2 linked regions of the Elephas maximus indicus genome follow. The protein of the gene in region 1 purifies or fractionates together with the protein of each later gene. This does not show direct contact. Links are inferred from orthologs where the notes say so. Each region holds a gene or a part of one and is shown in the gene's direction. Other genes may lie near its edges.

Region 1 (7,234 bases):
CAGCTGCTCCTTGGAAACCCTATGGGGCAGTTCTACTCTGTCCTATAGGGTCTCTTTGAGTCTGAAATTGACTCAATGGCAATGGGTTTGTTTTTTTATTTGTTTTGTTTTGATGTTCCAGGCAGGTTCTTTACTCCAGGGATATAGCAGTGAATGAAACAAAGTCCTTATTCCTTTGTTGCTTACATTCTATATGGGAATATAGGCAATAAACAAGTAAACAAATAAGCAGGATACTTGCTGATAGCAGTAAGTGCTATGAAAGACATAAACCAAGGTGGTGGGGCTGACAAGGGGTGGGGTCAGAGAGGTCTTATCTGAAAAAGTAATACTTGATCTGGTGCCTAAAACAAAAGAGAAGACCTGGGAAATGAAACTATTAATGAAAGGGTCTAAAGCAGGAACAAGCTTAGGTTGTTGAAGAAGGAGAAAGAAGGTATGGTCAGAGGGGCAAAATGGAACTCCACTGGGAGTTTTTTTTTTTTTAATTTTTATTGAGCTTTAAGTGGACGTTTACAAATCAAGTTAGTCTGTCACATATAAGCTTATATACACCTTACTCCATACTCCCGCTTAATCTCCCCCTAATGAGTCAGCCCTTCCAGTCTCTCCTTTTGTGACAATTTTGCCAGTTTCTAACCCTCTCTACCCTCCTATCTCCCCTCCAGACAGGACATGCCACTGGGAGTTTTTTAAAGGGAGGGTAATTTAATCTGTATCAGGATAGGATAGGTAGGCAGTTCTAAATGTTTTGGTCTTACACCCCTTTATATTCTTAAAACATTGAGGATCTCAAACAGCTTTTTTTGTTCGTGTATAGATTAATTATTATTGCTGTGTAGAAAAAATCACCTCAAAACTTAGTGGCTTCAATTCAATTGTGGATTTATTCATTCGTTTTCTCTCAATTTCTATGAGTCAGGAAATTCTAGCAATTTGGGGGTTTCTGGCTTGGGAATCTCTTGTGAGGTTGCAGTCATCTGAAGGCTTGAGTAGGCCTGGGAGATTTCCTTCAAGGTAGCTCACTCATATGAGTGGCAAGTTGGTGCTGGCTGTTAGCAGGAAGCCTGAGTTACCTCTCCACATGAACCTCTCCATAGGCATACTGAGTGCCTTTGTGTCATGGTGGCCGACTTCCACCAGAGCAGATGATCCAAGAAACAGCAATATGGAAGTCATGATGTCTTTTATGACCTAGCCACAGAAGTCACACACTATCATTTCCTCAATCCATTGTGAGCATACATACCAGGAGGTGGGGATCACTGAGGGCCATCTTGGAGACTGGCTACCACAATGTGGGTTGCATTTATTGATATTTACAGAATTAGAAATTAAAATATAGAAAGTTTTAAAATATTAACATTCATTTCAAAACAAGAAGCCCACTATATGTTAACAATGTATTTTTAATGAAAATAGTTTTCAAAACAAAAATAATTAGAAGAATGTCATTGTTTTATATTTTTTCAAATCTCTTTAATATATCTGGTTTAAGAGAAGACAGCAGCATTCTCATTTCTGCTTCTGCATACTCCACTGAACACTATGACAGAATGAGTGAAAAACGGCAAGTTACATCTTAATTTTATTATAAAAATAGTTTTGACTTTGTAGAACCTCCTGAAAGTGTCTTGGGGACCTCAGACTACACTTTAAGAGCCTGGAGCTAGGTTATGATATAGTAACAAATGACCCTAAAATCTCAGTGGCTTCCTACAACAAAGGTTTATTTCTTGCTCATGCTACAAATGCATTATGGATTTGTATCTATTCCATGACATCTTCGTTCATCTTCGTTAAGGAACCCAAGTTGACAAACAGCCTGTCTTAGTTATCTAGTGCTGCTGTACCAGAAATACCACAAGTAGATGGCTTTAACAAAGAGAAATTTATTCTCTCGCTGCTTAGGAGGCTAGAAGTCTGAATTCAGGGAGCTAGCTCCAGAGGAAGGCTCTCTCTGTAGCCTCTGGGGGAAGATCCTTGTCATCCATCTTCCCCAGTTAAGGAGCCTCTCAGCGCAGGGACCCTGGGTCCAAAGGACATGCTATTCTCCTGGCTCTTGTTGCTTGGCGGTATGAGGTACGTGTTCTCTCTGCTGAATTCTCTCGTTATATCGTTTAGATTGACTCAAGATACAATCTAATCCTGCAGATTGAGTCCTGCCTCATTAACATAACTGCCACTAATCCTGGCAGTTACATTATTAACAGAACTTATTAACATCATACCCATCGCTGTCAATTCCAACTCATAGCGACCCTATAGGATAGAGTAGAACTGCCCAATAGAGTTTCCAAGGGGCACCTGGTGAATTTGAACTGCCGACCTTTCAGTTAGCAGACATAGCTCTTAACCACTATGTCACCAGGGTTACTTATTCACATCATAGAAGTTAGGATTTATAACACATAGAATAATCACATCAGATGACAAAATGGTGCAGAATCACACAATAGTGGGAATCATGGCCTAACAAAGTTGACACATATTTTTAGGGGACACAATTCAGTCCATAACACAGCCTCTACCTGGGACACTGCTAGTCATTGTGACAGGAGGAAAAGAGAACATGGTGAACCACTCTGGCTCTTAAAGTTTCTTCTTCAGAATGTCACTTTTTCTATCAGCCAAAGCTAAGTCACATGGTCAGGCCTGAGTTCAGGGCGGGCCCCCACTGGAAGGGACACCAAATACACGTGAACGGTAATATACTCCACCATGGTGTTTTATAAATATCACTCTGGCTGATTCATGAAGAATGGGTTATATGGGAAGAGGTAGAAGGCAGTTAAGAGTAGAAGTCGTGTTAAGAATTGACTGCAGTACTTCAGGTAAGAAATGAGAGTGGCTTGGAGTAGGGTGGTAGCAGTGGTCTGATTCAAGATGTTACTACGGAGGTAGAGTTAGTAGGACTTGTTTTTTGAAGTGGGAGTGGGATAGGAAAAATACTGAAAGATAACTTCTAGGTTTTTGGTTTGAGCAATTGGGTGGATAATGATGCTATTTATTGAGATGAGGAAGACTGGGGAAAGAAGAGGTGTTTGTTTTTTGGCAGGGGAAGGAAGGAACAAATTTCTGTTTTGAACATGTTAATGCTCAGATACTTGCTAGATTTCCAAGTGGAAATGTTCAGGGGGCACTGGACATAGTAGATCTCTAAGTCTGGGGCTCAGGGGAGAGGTCAGAAATAGAGACAGAAATTTTGCAGGCATTAGTATAGAGCTGAATTGTAAAGCCTTGGAGCTGGATGAGGTCTCCTAGGGAGTGCCAACAGGGAAGAGAAGAGGGCCAAGATCTAAGTGTTGGAAATACACCAACATTGGACCAGTGGCGTCGGATCCAGCAAAGGAGATTGAGGAGGAGCCATTGAGGCAAGGTGAAAACCAGGATAGTGCTGGGTAGTGAAAACCAAGAGAAGAAAGTATTTTATAACTTTGATTGTCAATGTTATAGAAGTTGGATATCATAAGGATAACAAAGTGACCATAGGATTTGGCAATGTGGAAGTCATTATTGATCTGGACAAGAAAAGTTTTAGGGGGGGTGAGGATCAAAGTCTAATTACAGTGGGTTGAAGAAAAGATGGGAGGCGAGGAATGAAGACACCTCTTTGTGTGTGTGTGTGCATTCTTTTTTTTTTTAATTGTGCTTTAAGTGAAAGTTTACAGTTAAAGTCAGTTTCTTATACAAAAATTTACACACTGTTATATGACCCCAGTTGCTCTCCCTACAATGTGACAGCACACTCCTCCTCTCCACCCTTTATTTCCCATGTCCATTCAACCAGCTCCTGTCCCCATCTGCCTTCAAGACAACCTCTTCAGCAGTTTTTTGTTAGGTAAGTGAGTGGAGAAAAGGGACGGGGACAAAGGTGTGAAGATGAAATGATGTGTACATGAAATCTTTACGTAAAGTGTAAACGCTCTGTAATCGTTAGGCTTATTTTATTATTCATACTCCTAGACATTTAAACCCAGCTCAGAGGGCACTGGGTTTTTGGTTCAGGGTAAATTCATTAATGCGCAGAATACCTCCAGCCAATGAAAACCCGAAAATGAGAGTCAGCTGGAGAAAGCTAGCTAACAATAACGGAGGCGGAGAAGTGGTGGGATTGTGAATTGTCCTCCCAAGGCCACCGTAGGGCAGATCTCGTAGCTATTATGGTGTTTTAGGGGTGGAGCTAGTAGGAAATTTAAACCGAAGCCGCGGCAGAGGGCGCCTAGAGAATGATGCAGAGGAACACCTGGGTTTTGGGAGTCTGAAAGAGATCATGGAGCCGGAGGATGTGCTACGCCGGCCTTAAGGAAGGACTACGGAAGCCGAAAAGGAGCCAAGAGTGTGAGAAGGGAGCTAGGAACGGGTACGGATGCCGGGAAGGGGAGAAAGTTGTAAGAAGGCAGGCGGAAGGGGTCAGAAGAGTTGAAGACGGGGTGGGGAGTCAGAAAGTGGACGTAGACATTGAGAAACGGTTAAGTGCAGAAACGGAGGAGGGTACAGAAGCCGTAAAGGCGGGGGGGAGGTCACAGGAATATAGGTGATTCAGCAGGTCTCGGGAGTTGAGGGGACAGAGGTCCAAAGGGAGCGAAGGAACTAGAAGGAACGGGAATTGAAAAGATGTACAGCGGGTGGCCAAGGGCTAACACGAGTTGAGGGAACAGAGTGCGAAAGGGGGCGGTGGGACTGAGGACACGCTCATGGAAGGAGACGTGGGAGTTGAGTGGGTTGGGGTGGAGCTGAGTCTTGCTGTCCTTGGGAGCCGAATTGGGAACTTTGGGCATTGTGCGGGTTTTGGGGGGCGGGAACGGTGGACGGTCGAAGGCTAGAGAAGGTGGTTGAGCTTTGTCCTCCTTTCTCAGGCGACTATTTGCTCGAGCCGGGGAGTTCCATGGCTGAGGCTAGGCTCCGGGTTCCGGACCTAGGTAGGTAACAGATTAAAACTAGGGATGCGAGGTCAAATTTGCTACTCCTGCCCTAGAGTCTCTTGGGAGAATAAGAGAAATTTTAGTCCTGTTTGGGTTGTCAAACTCCTTAGTAGTTTTGTGGAGGAGAGGATCATTTAGGAATTCATGGTAAAGGTCAAGCGAGAGCTTTTAGTCTGGTATTATGGACAAAGTAGGCAGATGGAGAGTCAGGATATAGTAATTTGTTAAAACTCATGTTCATGGTTATTTTCACCATAAATTTCTTAAGTTTATTGATAAACTTAAAATACTCCCACCGAGTTAGGTAAGTATTATAGCATATAGCAGTGCTTCCCCTTCTTTCTTTTACTATCTATCCAGTTTTAGTTCTGATTGTTACAAATACAGGTTTTGTTGTTGTTGCCTTTTACACAGTAGTAACATTTACTAAGTTTTTTTCGTCCTTCCCAGTCTTGTTGCTTTCTTCTGGATCTGTTTCTCTTTTTCCTGGGGAACTTTGTCCAAGACTGTTTCAAAAGAGGACTCTGTGTGATAAACTTTCTGAGGCTTGCGTGCCTGAGAATATATTTCACTGCTGCATTAAAATTCTTGAGTCAATGTTTTTTCAACACATTGAAAAATTACAATATTTTCTTCTTACACAAAGTAGATACTGTTGAGAAATGATATTAATCTGACTCTTTTTCCTTTGTAAATGACCTGCTTTTTCTCTTTAGAAAAATTGAGACTATTCTTTCTGTTTGTTCTTAAAATTCACTATGATATGACTGTGTCTGGATTTGGGAGGGTTTTTATTTTTCATTATTATTACAATCTTATGCTTACATTGTTTAAAATAACCAAGGTCTGTCACAAAACAAAACATTCTTCCGCTCTTCCTTTCATACCTCGTGATTCCCACTCCCTAGGGTGTGACTACAGCTTTTTTAGCTGTTTATTCTAGTATTTTTTTTTTCTAAATAGCATGTTCATACTGTTTTTTGTTATTGTTGTTTTCCATTTTTAATTTTATCTATTGGCTTTCTGCTATGGAAAGTAAAGATTTTTTTTTTTCTGTAACCTCTGTCCCCTTCACTACACACATACATATTTCCCTCCTCCCCTCATCCTCTCAATATATTTTTGTCTAGATGATTTTTGTGTTTACGTTACTATGATTATGTAAAGGCTATTCACAGCTGAGCCATATAGTAAACTAGGAAATTTCCTTTGTTTTCTATGTGTAAATCTCCACAGTCTTTACCAGAAATAACAAACCTCCCAATACTTTTAAGCTCATCAGAAGATCCGTCAGTTTCTTCTCTGTCTCGGAGACATACCTTCTGGAACCATTTGTCTTAGCAGTCTAGTCTGGTTTAGATATGCACTAGGCCTGTTGCATGGATTTCATCCTACTATCCCTTCATCATTCCGTGAAATTCCCTTTGCCTCTTTCCTGTGTTGGATCGTCTGTGTTCTCAATTCCATATTTTCCTCTTTCGGCTCATGTCCTCACTTGGGTAGAGTACGTCCTCCAATATAGCTTCCTGAGAAAGGTACATGAGAAATAATTTTTGGAGACTTTGCAGATCTGACAATTCTTTATTCTGTCTTACATTTGAATGATAGTTTGGCTAGGTAAAGAATTCTAGGTTGGAAATTGTTTTTCCTCAGAATTTTAAAGACATGTTTCCATCTTCTTTTAGCTTTCTACCTCCTCCTGAGTATTACAAGAGCCCTAACTGTTTAGCAATGATATTATTATCTTTTTTTTTTTTTGCTTCCAAACTATTCATTGTTATTGTTTTACACAGTCGGTGATTATTTAGGTTTATGCATATATTTTTGACATTTTAGTCCTTCCTTCTGGGTTCAGTTTTCTTCTTAAGTGTATCTTTTAGAGCCCTTTAGTGAGAATCTGTTGGTGATAAATTGGGGTTTTGTTTTTTTGAAAAAATGTCTTTATTTTGCCCTCATTCTTCAATAATAGTCTAGTCGTGTATAAAATTCTAAGTCGACCTTTATTTTCTCTCAGCACATTATCACACTGGTTTCTGGGTTCCATTGTTGCTATTGAAATGCCTATGAGAGCGTTAATAGCTGTTCCTTTATAGTTAAAGCTTGGTAGGTTCCCCGCCCCCCCCATTTAGTATCCTCTCTTTGCCCTTGGTGTTTTGCATATTCACTTTGATGTTTCTAAGTGTGGATTTAGTTTTATTTTATTTCTCCTTTTTGAGATTTGATTTCTGACACCAAAGATATATGGCTTTCATCAATTTTGGACATGTCACGTAAATGGAATTATACAATATGGAGTCGTACAATATGTG
Region 2 (7,351 bases), on another chromosome or scaffold:
AAGAAAACTACAGTACACTTCTGCAAGAAACCAAAAGAGACTTACATAAGTGGAAGAACGTACCTTGCTCGTGGATAGGAAGACTTAACATTATAAAAATGTTCTACCAAAAGTGATCTATACATTTAATCCAATTCCGATTCAAATCCCAACGACATTCTTTAATGAGATGGAGAGACAAATCACCAACTTCATATGGAAGGGAAAGAGGCCCTGGATAAATAAGGCATTACTGAAAAAGAAGAAGAAAGTGGGAGGCCTTACTTTACCTGATTTTAGAACCTATTATACCGCCACAGTAGTCAAAACAGGCTGGTACTGGTACAACAACAGATACATGGACCAATGGAACAGAACTGAGAATCCAGGCATAAATCCATCCACATATGAGCAGTTGGTATTTGACAAAGGCCCCAAAACAGTTAAATGGGAAAAAGACAGTCTTAACCGTCTTTTTTAAACAAATGGTGCTGGCATAACTGGATATCCATCTGCAAAAAACTCCGTGCACAAAAACTAACTCGAAATGGATCAAAGACCTAAATATAAAATCTAAAATGATAAAGACCATGGAAGAAAAAATATAGACAACGTTAGGAGCCCTAATACATGGCATAAGCAGTATACAAAACGCTATAAAGAATGTAGAAGAAAAACTAGGTAAGTGGGAGCTCCTAAAAATCATCCAAAGACTTTGCTCATCCAAAGACTTCACCAAAAGAGTAAAAAGATTACCTATGGACTGGGAAAAAGTTTTTAGCTATGACATTTCTGATCAGCATCTGATCTCTAAAATCTACATGATACTGCAAAAACTCAACTGCAAAAAGACAAATAACCCAATTAAAAAATGGGCAAAGGACATGAATAGACACTTCACTGAAGAAGACATTCAGGTAGCTAACAGATACATGAGGAAATGCTCACGATCATTAGCCATTAGAGAAATGCAAATCAAAACTACAATGAGATTCCATCTCACTCCAACAAGGCTGGCATTAATCCAAAAAACACAAAATAATAAATATTGGAGAGGATGTGGAGAGTCTAGAACACTTATACACTGCTGGTGGGAATGTAAAATGGTACAATCACTTTGGAAATTGATTTGGCACTTCCTTAAAAAGCTAGAAATGGAACTACTATACGATCCAGCAATCCCACTCCTTGGAATATAAAACCACCACTGCCGTCGAATCGATTCCGACTCATAGCGACCCTATAGGACAGAGTAGAATAAGAATATATCCTAGAGAAATAAGAGCCTTTACAAGAACAGATATATGCACACCCATATTTATTGCAGCACTGTTTACAATAGCAAAAAGATGGAAGCAACCAAGGTGCCCATCAACGGATGAAATGGATAAATAAATTACGGTATATTCACAATGGAATACTACGCATGGATAAAGAACAGTGAGGAATCTGTGAAACATTTCATAACATGGAGGAACCTGGAAAGTATTACGCTGAGTGAAATTAGTCAGTTGCAAAAGGACAAATATTGTATAAGACCACTATTATAAGAACTTGAGAAATAGTTTAAACTGAGAAGAAAACATTCTTTTGTGGTTACGAGACGGGGGAGGGAGGGAGGCTGGGAGAGGGGCATTCACTAATTAGATAGTCGATAAGAACTACTTTAGGCAAAGGGAAAGACAGCACACAATATAGGGGAGGTCAGCACAACTGGACTAAACCAAAAGCAAAGAAGTTTCCTGAATAAACTGAATGCTTCGAAAGCCAGTATAGCAGGGGCAGGGTTCTGGTGACCATGGTTTCAGGGGACATCTTGGCATAATGAAATCTGTTAAGAAAACATTCTGCATCCCACTTTGGAAAGTGGTGTCTGGGGTCTTAAACGCTAGCAAGCGGCCATTTAAGGTCCATCAATTGGTTGCAACCCACCTGGATCAAAGGAGAATGCAGAGCACCAAGGATACAAGGTAATTACAAGCCCAAGAGACAGAAAAGACCACATAAACCAGAGACTACATCAACCTGAGACCAGAAGAACTAGATGGTGCCCAGCTACGCTGCCCTGACAGGGAACACAACAGAGAACCCCTGAGGGAGCAGGAGAGCAGTGGATGCAGACCCCAAATTCTCATAGGACCAGACTTAATGGTTTGACTGAGACTAGAAGGACGCCCGTGGTGATGGCCCCCAGACCTTCTGTTGGCCCAGGACAGGAACCATTCCCAAAGCCAAGTCTTCAGACATGGATTGGACTAGACAATGGGTTGGAGAGGGATGGTGGTGAGGAGTGAGCTTCTTGGATCAGGTGGACACTTGAGACTATGTTGGCATCTCCTGCCTGGAGAGGAGATGAGAGGGTGGAGGGGGTTAGAAGCTGGCGAAACAGACATGAAAAGAGAGAGCTGAGGGAGAGAGCTGGCTGTCTCATTTGGGGGAGAGTAATTGGGAGTGTGTAGCTAGGTGTATATGGGTTTTTGTGTGATAGGCTGACGTGATTTGTAAACTTTCAGTTAAAGCACAATAAAAAGTATATATATATAAAAAATGCTGGTCCTTGGATCTCACACCCAGAAGTTCTGTTATAATTGTTCTGGGGTGCAGCCTGGGCTTCAGAATTTTTAACAGCTCCTCAGGTGATTCTAAAGTGCAGCCAAGGTTGAGCACCCGTGTTCTAGAACAGTGCTTCTCAAAATGTAAAATTCATGCAAATCACCTGAGGGTCTTTTATAATGCAGATTTTGATTCAGTAGGTCTGAGGTGGGGTCCAGGATTCTGAATTTCTTGCCTATGCCTGTTCGCTGCAAAAAGTACTAATGGGGATCAGGGGAGGGGATTACTTACTGTCTGGGGAGAAAGTGGATTAGGTAAAATAACTGGTATCTCAGTGGTGGCCTGTGCATGGGTTTTGGAGTTAGAATAATCTTAACTTTTCACACCAAAATGAATCTTTTCCTCCAACAATTTTAGCTATCCTCTCCAATGATCTTATCTCTGAAACCCCAACTTTCACCATCTTATGCACCACCCTTACCTTTATAACTCATACCTCCATTATACAAATTCTTAGATTACATACTGATTTCCAATCCATTGTTCTCCTGACTTTTATCTTTCTACCAACTTCCCTATCACCATTCCTCCTAGCCTCCTGGATTCCATGATGCATCATTACAACCACTTCCTTGTAAATACCCTGACTTGCACTCCCTCTGTGCGAAGTGTTAAATCCACCTATGTTTTCCATGTCTGCATTCTCTTGGCCTGAAAGTTACTTGAGAACCCTGATGCCAATGTCATAATCTTTCTCCCAGTTCACATTCTCACTCAGAAGATACTTCAGAACTTTTTCTCGCTCCTCCGACTTCTAATACCCCTTCCTGCCTTTCTCTCAGCTCATATTTTATTAAGAAAACTGATACGATCAGGTAAGAACTTATTTTCCAACCCATACAAAAATCACCTGCGTCTGAATCCTTCTCTTCTTTTCCTGCCGTTAAAAGGATGGTAATCTGGGTTCATTTCAAAGGCATATCCCCCTCCATGTGCTTTGAATCCATCCCTTCATCCTCCTTGATAACTTCATTCCTGTAGGTATTCCCTTTTTCTCCCACATCAACAATTTCTTTCTCTACTAGATCAATCTCTACTGTTCACCACTCCCTTCCCCCTCTAAGACAAAAACAAAACCTCAAGAACATCTTTCGTTCCTCAAAACACTCTAGTCTTTCTGCCTTATTACATCTCTGAAACTGCTCTTTCTCCTTTTTTATTTCTTTGGGGCGCTCATCACTATCTGTAAGAATTTTATTCATTTGTCATCGCCTCACTAGAATTTAGCCTCATTAAGTGTCGACTATTTTTTTTTTATTGTCTACCTTGTTCACCTGCCTACCTCATAGTCAAGCACTCAATAAATATATGCTAAATGAGCGCCAACTGTACTTATTTCTGTGAATAGTCATAAACAATCAGGAATTGGCATTTTGCGTTTGTGTATTTTTACCGGAAAGGCAGAGCACTCAACGGAAAGGAAGTAAAAGAGCGACAAAGTACACGTCTTTAATCCAGGCTGCCCATGCCTTGGTGTGGCTACGGTATGGAGAAATGTGTCAAGACTCCAGAGCCTGAGGCTTTCCTTTTTCTGAACTATAGTCTTTCCTGAAAATAGTGTTGGACCCTTAACCTAATGGTTCACTCTATTTTTTAGTAAACGATTAACCTCAGATTTTATTTCTATAATCGCTCTTCTAGCCAAGTAGCAGCTAGCAACGGCCTTGGGGGAAGAAACCTAACCTTGCTGCGCAAGCGCCTAAAGTTTTCCAGTGCGCATGCGCAATTGAAACAGCGCGGCGGGAAGTCTAGCGCAGGCGCGTTTGGCCAGCTGCTAAGTGGGGAGAGCCGGGAGCCGGCGACCCAGGCATGTGGGGAGCCACGGAAGTCGTACTCCCTTAAACCGTGAGTTTCCAACGGTTTGTTCTTTCTGAGGGACTAGAAATGAATTCGGAATTCGTGGCTAGTCTTGTCGCAGTGCAGTACCCCCACCCCTTCTGGTCCCGCTGGCCTGCGGCGGGAAAATTGCGCGTCTGCGCACTAAGCATCCGCTTCGTCTCTGGTCTGAGCGGAAGGTCCTGCCCTACTGAGCTCGCGGCCGGATAATGTCCATTCATTGCCCATTCCCTTCCTCCGCCCGCCGCTAGTGGCTCGTGGCCGTATGAGTTCTCTGCCAACTCGCGTGAGTCCCCGTACTAGCTTCCTGGAGTTCCGTCTCAGTGGTCACAGTTTCCTCCTTCAGTCCCCTTCCTCAGGTCAAACCGCTCCGGGCACCCCTTCCACGCCCAAATACAAACGTCAGCAGTTCCCCACCACCCTTCCCATCGCCGCCAGCTGCTGATGTCCCCCGACATGACATTCTCCCTTCGGCCCCCTGCCGGGATTTCTGGGAGGTGAAGGTAAAAGCAAATGGAATCCTTAGAAATAGTTCACAGTTTCTCTTTGGGGATTTGAACATACAGTGCTTTTAAATGTTTGTCCCTTTGGAGACAGTGGCATTTTTTGGTGCTTGCTTCGGTGAGTGATTTAAATTTCTCATCTTCTCTAGCATTCTAATTTTCCCAGCTGCTTTGCTACCCCTGTGGACATGACCTCTTAGCTGGCACTTTACATCCCAGTTTTGTGATGGAGGCGTCTTTGGGGATTCAGATGGATGAGCCAGTGGCCTTTTCTCCCCCGTGTAACCGGCTTCAGGTTGATGGCTCGTTAAAAAAAGATGAGCAGAGTTTTAAACTTCCAGGTATGTGTTTCATTCCAAAGATGTACTTAGAGGTAACAATTCTGAGTTTGTTGCTTTAAAAAAAAAATAACTCGAATCTTTAAAGTGAGTTGTATATTTGCGTAGGAACATTTTACAAATCAGTAAAGCTTTATAAGATCTAGATTTAGGATTGGATTGCAGTTTAGAAAGAGGATTGTAATCCTGTTTTGTCATTGTACAGATGAAGTTGCTAAAGTCTGAACAATTACCCATTGCCACCGAGCCTTTTCCAACTCATAGCAACACTATAGAACAGAATAGAACTGCCCCGTAGAGTTTCCAGTGAGCAGCTGGTGGATTTGAACTGCCAGCCTTTTGGTTAGCGGAAGAGCTCTTAACCACTGTACCACCAGGGCTCCAAAGTCTAAACGTTAGTGACTGCCTGATAACACCAAGTTTGTTAATGCCCAACCTAGAATTTGCCTCTTCCTAGACCTATGGTCTTATCTCTTCTCACTGTATTGTCTTAAGCTTGACACTGGAGGGATCTTTACTAAAGTATTCAGAGGCAGAATTCACTGACACAAATACATGAAATGTTTGTAGCAACAATAAAGCACAAAACCTGTGGGAGCACCGGCCGCACCCAGTGGTGGCTCAGTGGTAGAATTCTTGCCTTCCATGCAAGAGACCTTGGTTTGATTGCACCGCATATGCAGCCACCATTCCTGTCAGCACAGCGAATGTTTGCATGTTGCTGTGATGATGAACAGGTTTCAGCAGAGCTTCCAGACTAAAACAGACTAGGAAGAAAGGCCTACTTCAGAAAATCAGCCAGTTAAAACTCTGTGGTTCACAGTGGCCTGATCCGTAGTCAATCATGGGGATGGCACAGGACTGGGCGGCATTTTGTTACTGTTGTACATGGGCCATTATAAATTGGGGGCTGATTGCATGTCAGCTAACAACAACAATCCTAGATTTTATTGAAAAATACAGTATAATTTACTTGATTGTTAATCTATTTGAATAAAAATGTGTTCCAAGTAATATATTTTTGCTCTTTTCCTGCCACTCCAAGTGCTTTGGTGGGGGAAGAAGAAAATTATGGTCTCATCTGAACATGTCTGTTACTAAATCTGTTAAGCATCATTTTTATTGAACACCTGTACATGTTGGAAGACAATTCTCCATTAAACTGTCATGGCAGCTAACAACAATGTATCTCAGTGTGTATCATGAAGCATTGTTTGAATTTATCCCAGACCTTGGGGTGAGGAGGAGAGGGTCAAACAATATCTAGTCTTGTACACTAAAATGTTTGTCTTCATTCCTGTTTTAGCACAGTGCCTGGGACATAGTAGGCATTCAGTAAATATTTGTTAAATGGAGGAGTTCCAGTTAACTGTTATTATTATTTTTTTTTTTTCCTTAAAAGCTGGCTAAGTCTTTTCCATCTTTCTTTTAAGTGAATTTAGTGTTTGTCCAAAGCCGATTAGTTTTGGCCTTTTGTCCATGCTCAGTGTATACTTATGCTTCCTGACTGAAAGTAAGCTCATTTTTGGTCTCAAAATGAGTACATTTCGTGGGTTCCCTAATTTTGGTGATGAATCCAGGTTACCTATGCTCAAAACTGTAGAGTTGTTACGGAGTTAATGCTTTGTATTTGCTTCCTAATCTAGTTCACCCAGCATTGTCTTCTTTCTTTTTAATGTGTATAGCATTGCCTCTCCATTCCCTCTGCCACCACATTAATTCATCCCTTTATCACATTGCTCCTTAATTGTAATGAAGTTTCTTACCTAAACTGCCTGCTTTCACTTCCTTTCCACACTCCAGTTCATCTCATACACTGGTACTAATAATCTTAAAATGCCCCTTTTGTCCAGTTGAATGAATGGTGTTCCTCTTCCATTTTTCTTAAGATTACCTGTATTTAACAATTCAGCCTTATTAATCATTTGCCACATCATTGTGCACTGCCTTGTGTTGTTATTCCTGTATTTTGAATCTCTTCAATGTATACTATAAGCTCCTTGAAGACAGTGTCTCCCATAGCTACTGACTTATGTTGTGTCCTAGGCAGGGTGCAAAGGATGAATCTGATTTGGTTCTAGT

What was found. The genes of interacting proteins can lie anywhere in the genome.
Region 2: the proteins of DBF4B (region 1) and CDC7 purify together in Homo sapiens (affinity purification with mass spectrometry; 3 studies listed by BioGRID and IntAct, counting the BioPlex papers as one, with this or other methods). This does not show direct contact. The link is inferred for Elephas maximus indicus from reciprocal best matches to the Homo sapiens genes DBF4B and CDC7.

The regions. Positions count from the first base shown.
Region 1 is NC_064837.1:51,153,701-51,160,934, forward strand, and holds the start of DBF4B (protein DBF4 homolog B), read left to right. Parts: upstream 1-4,215; 5' UTR 4,216-4,363; intron 4,364-4,379; exon of another isoform or gene 4,380-4,391; intron 4,392-4,859; 5' UTR 4,860-4,888; coding exon 4,889-4,922; intron 4,923-7,234. UniProt on the Homo sapiens protein: Regulatory subunit for CDC7 which activates its kinase activity thereby playing a central role in DNA replication and cell proliferation. Required for progression of S and M phases.
Region 2 is NC_064821.1:150,943,274-150,950,624, reverse strand, and holds the start of CDC7 (cell division cycle 7-related protein kinase), read left to right. Parts: upstream 1-4,339; 5' UTR 4,340-4,437; intron 4,438-4,465; exon of another isoform or gene 4,466-4,931; intron 4,932-5,080; 5' UTR 5,081-5,157; coding exon 5,158-5,272; intron 5,273-7,351. UniProt on the Homo sapiens protein: Kinase involved in initiation of DNA replication. Phosphorylates critical substrates that regulate the G1/S phase transition and initiation of DNA replication, such as MCM proteins and CLASPIN.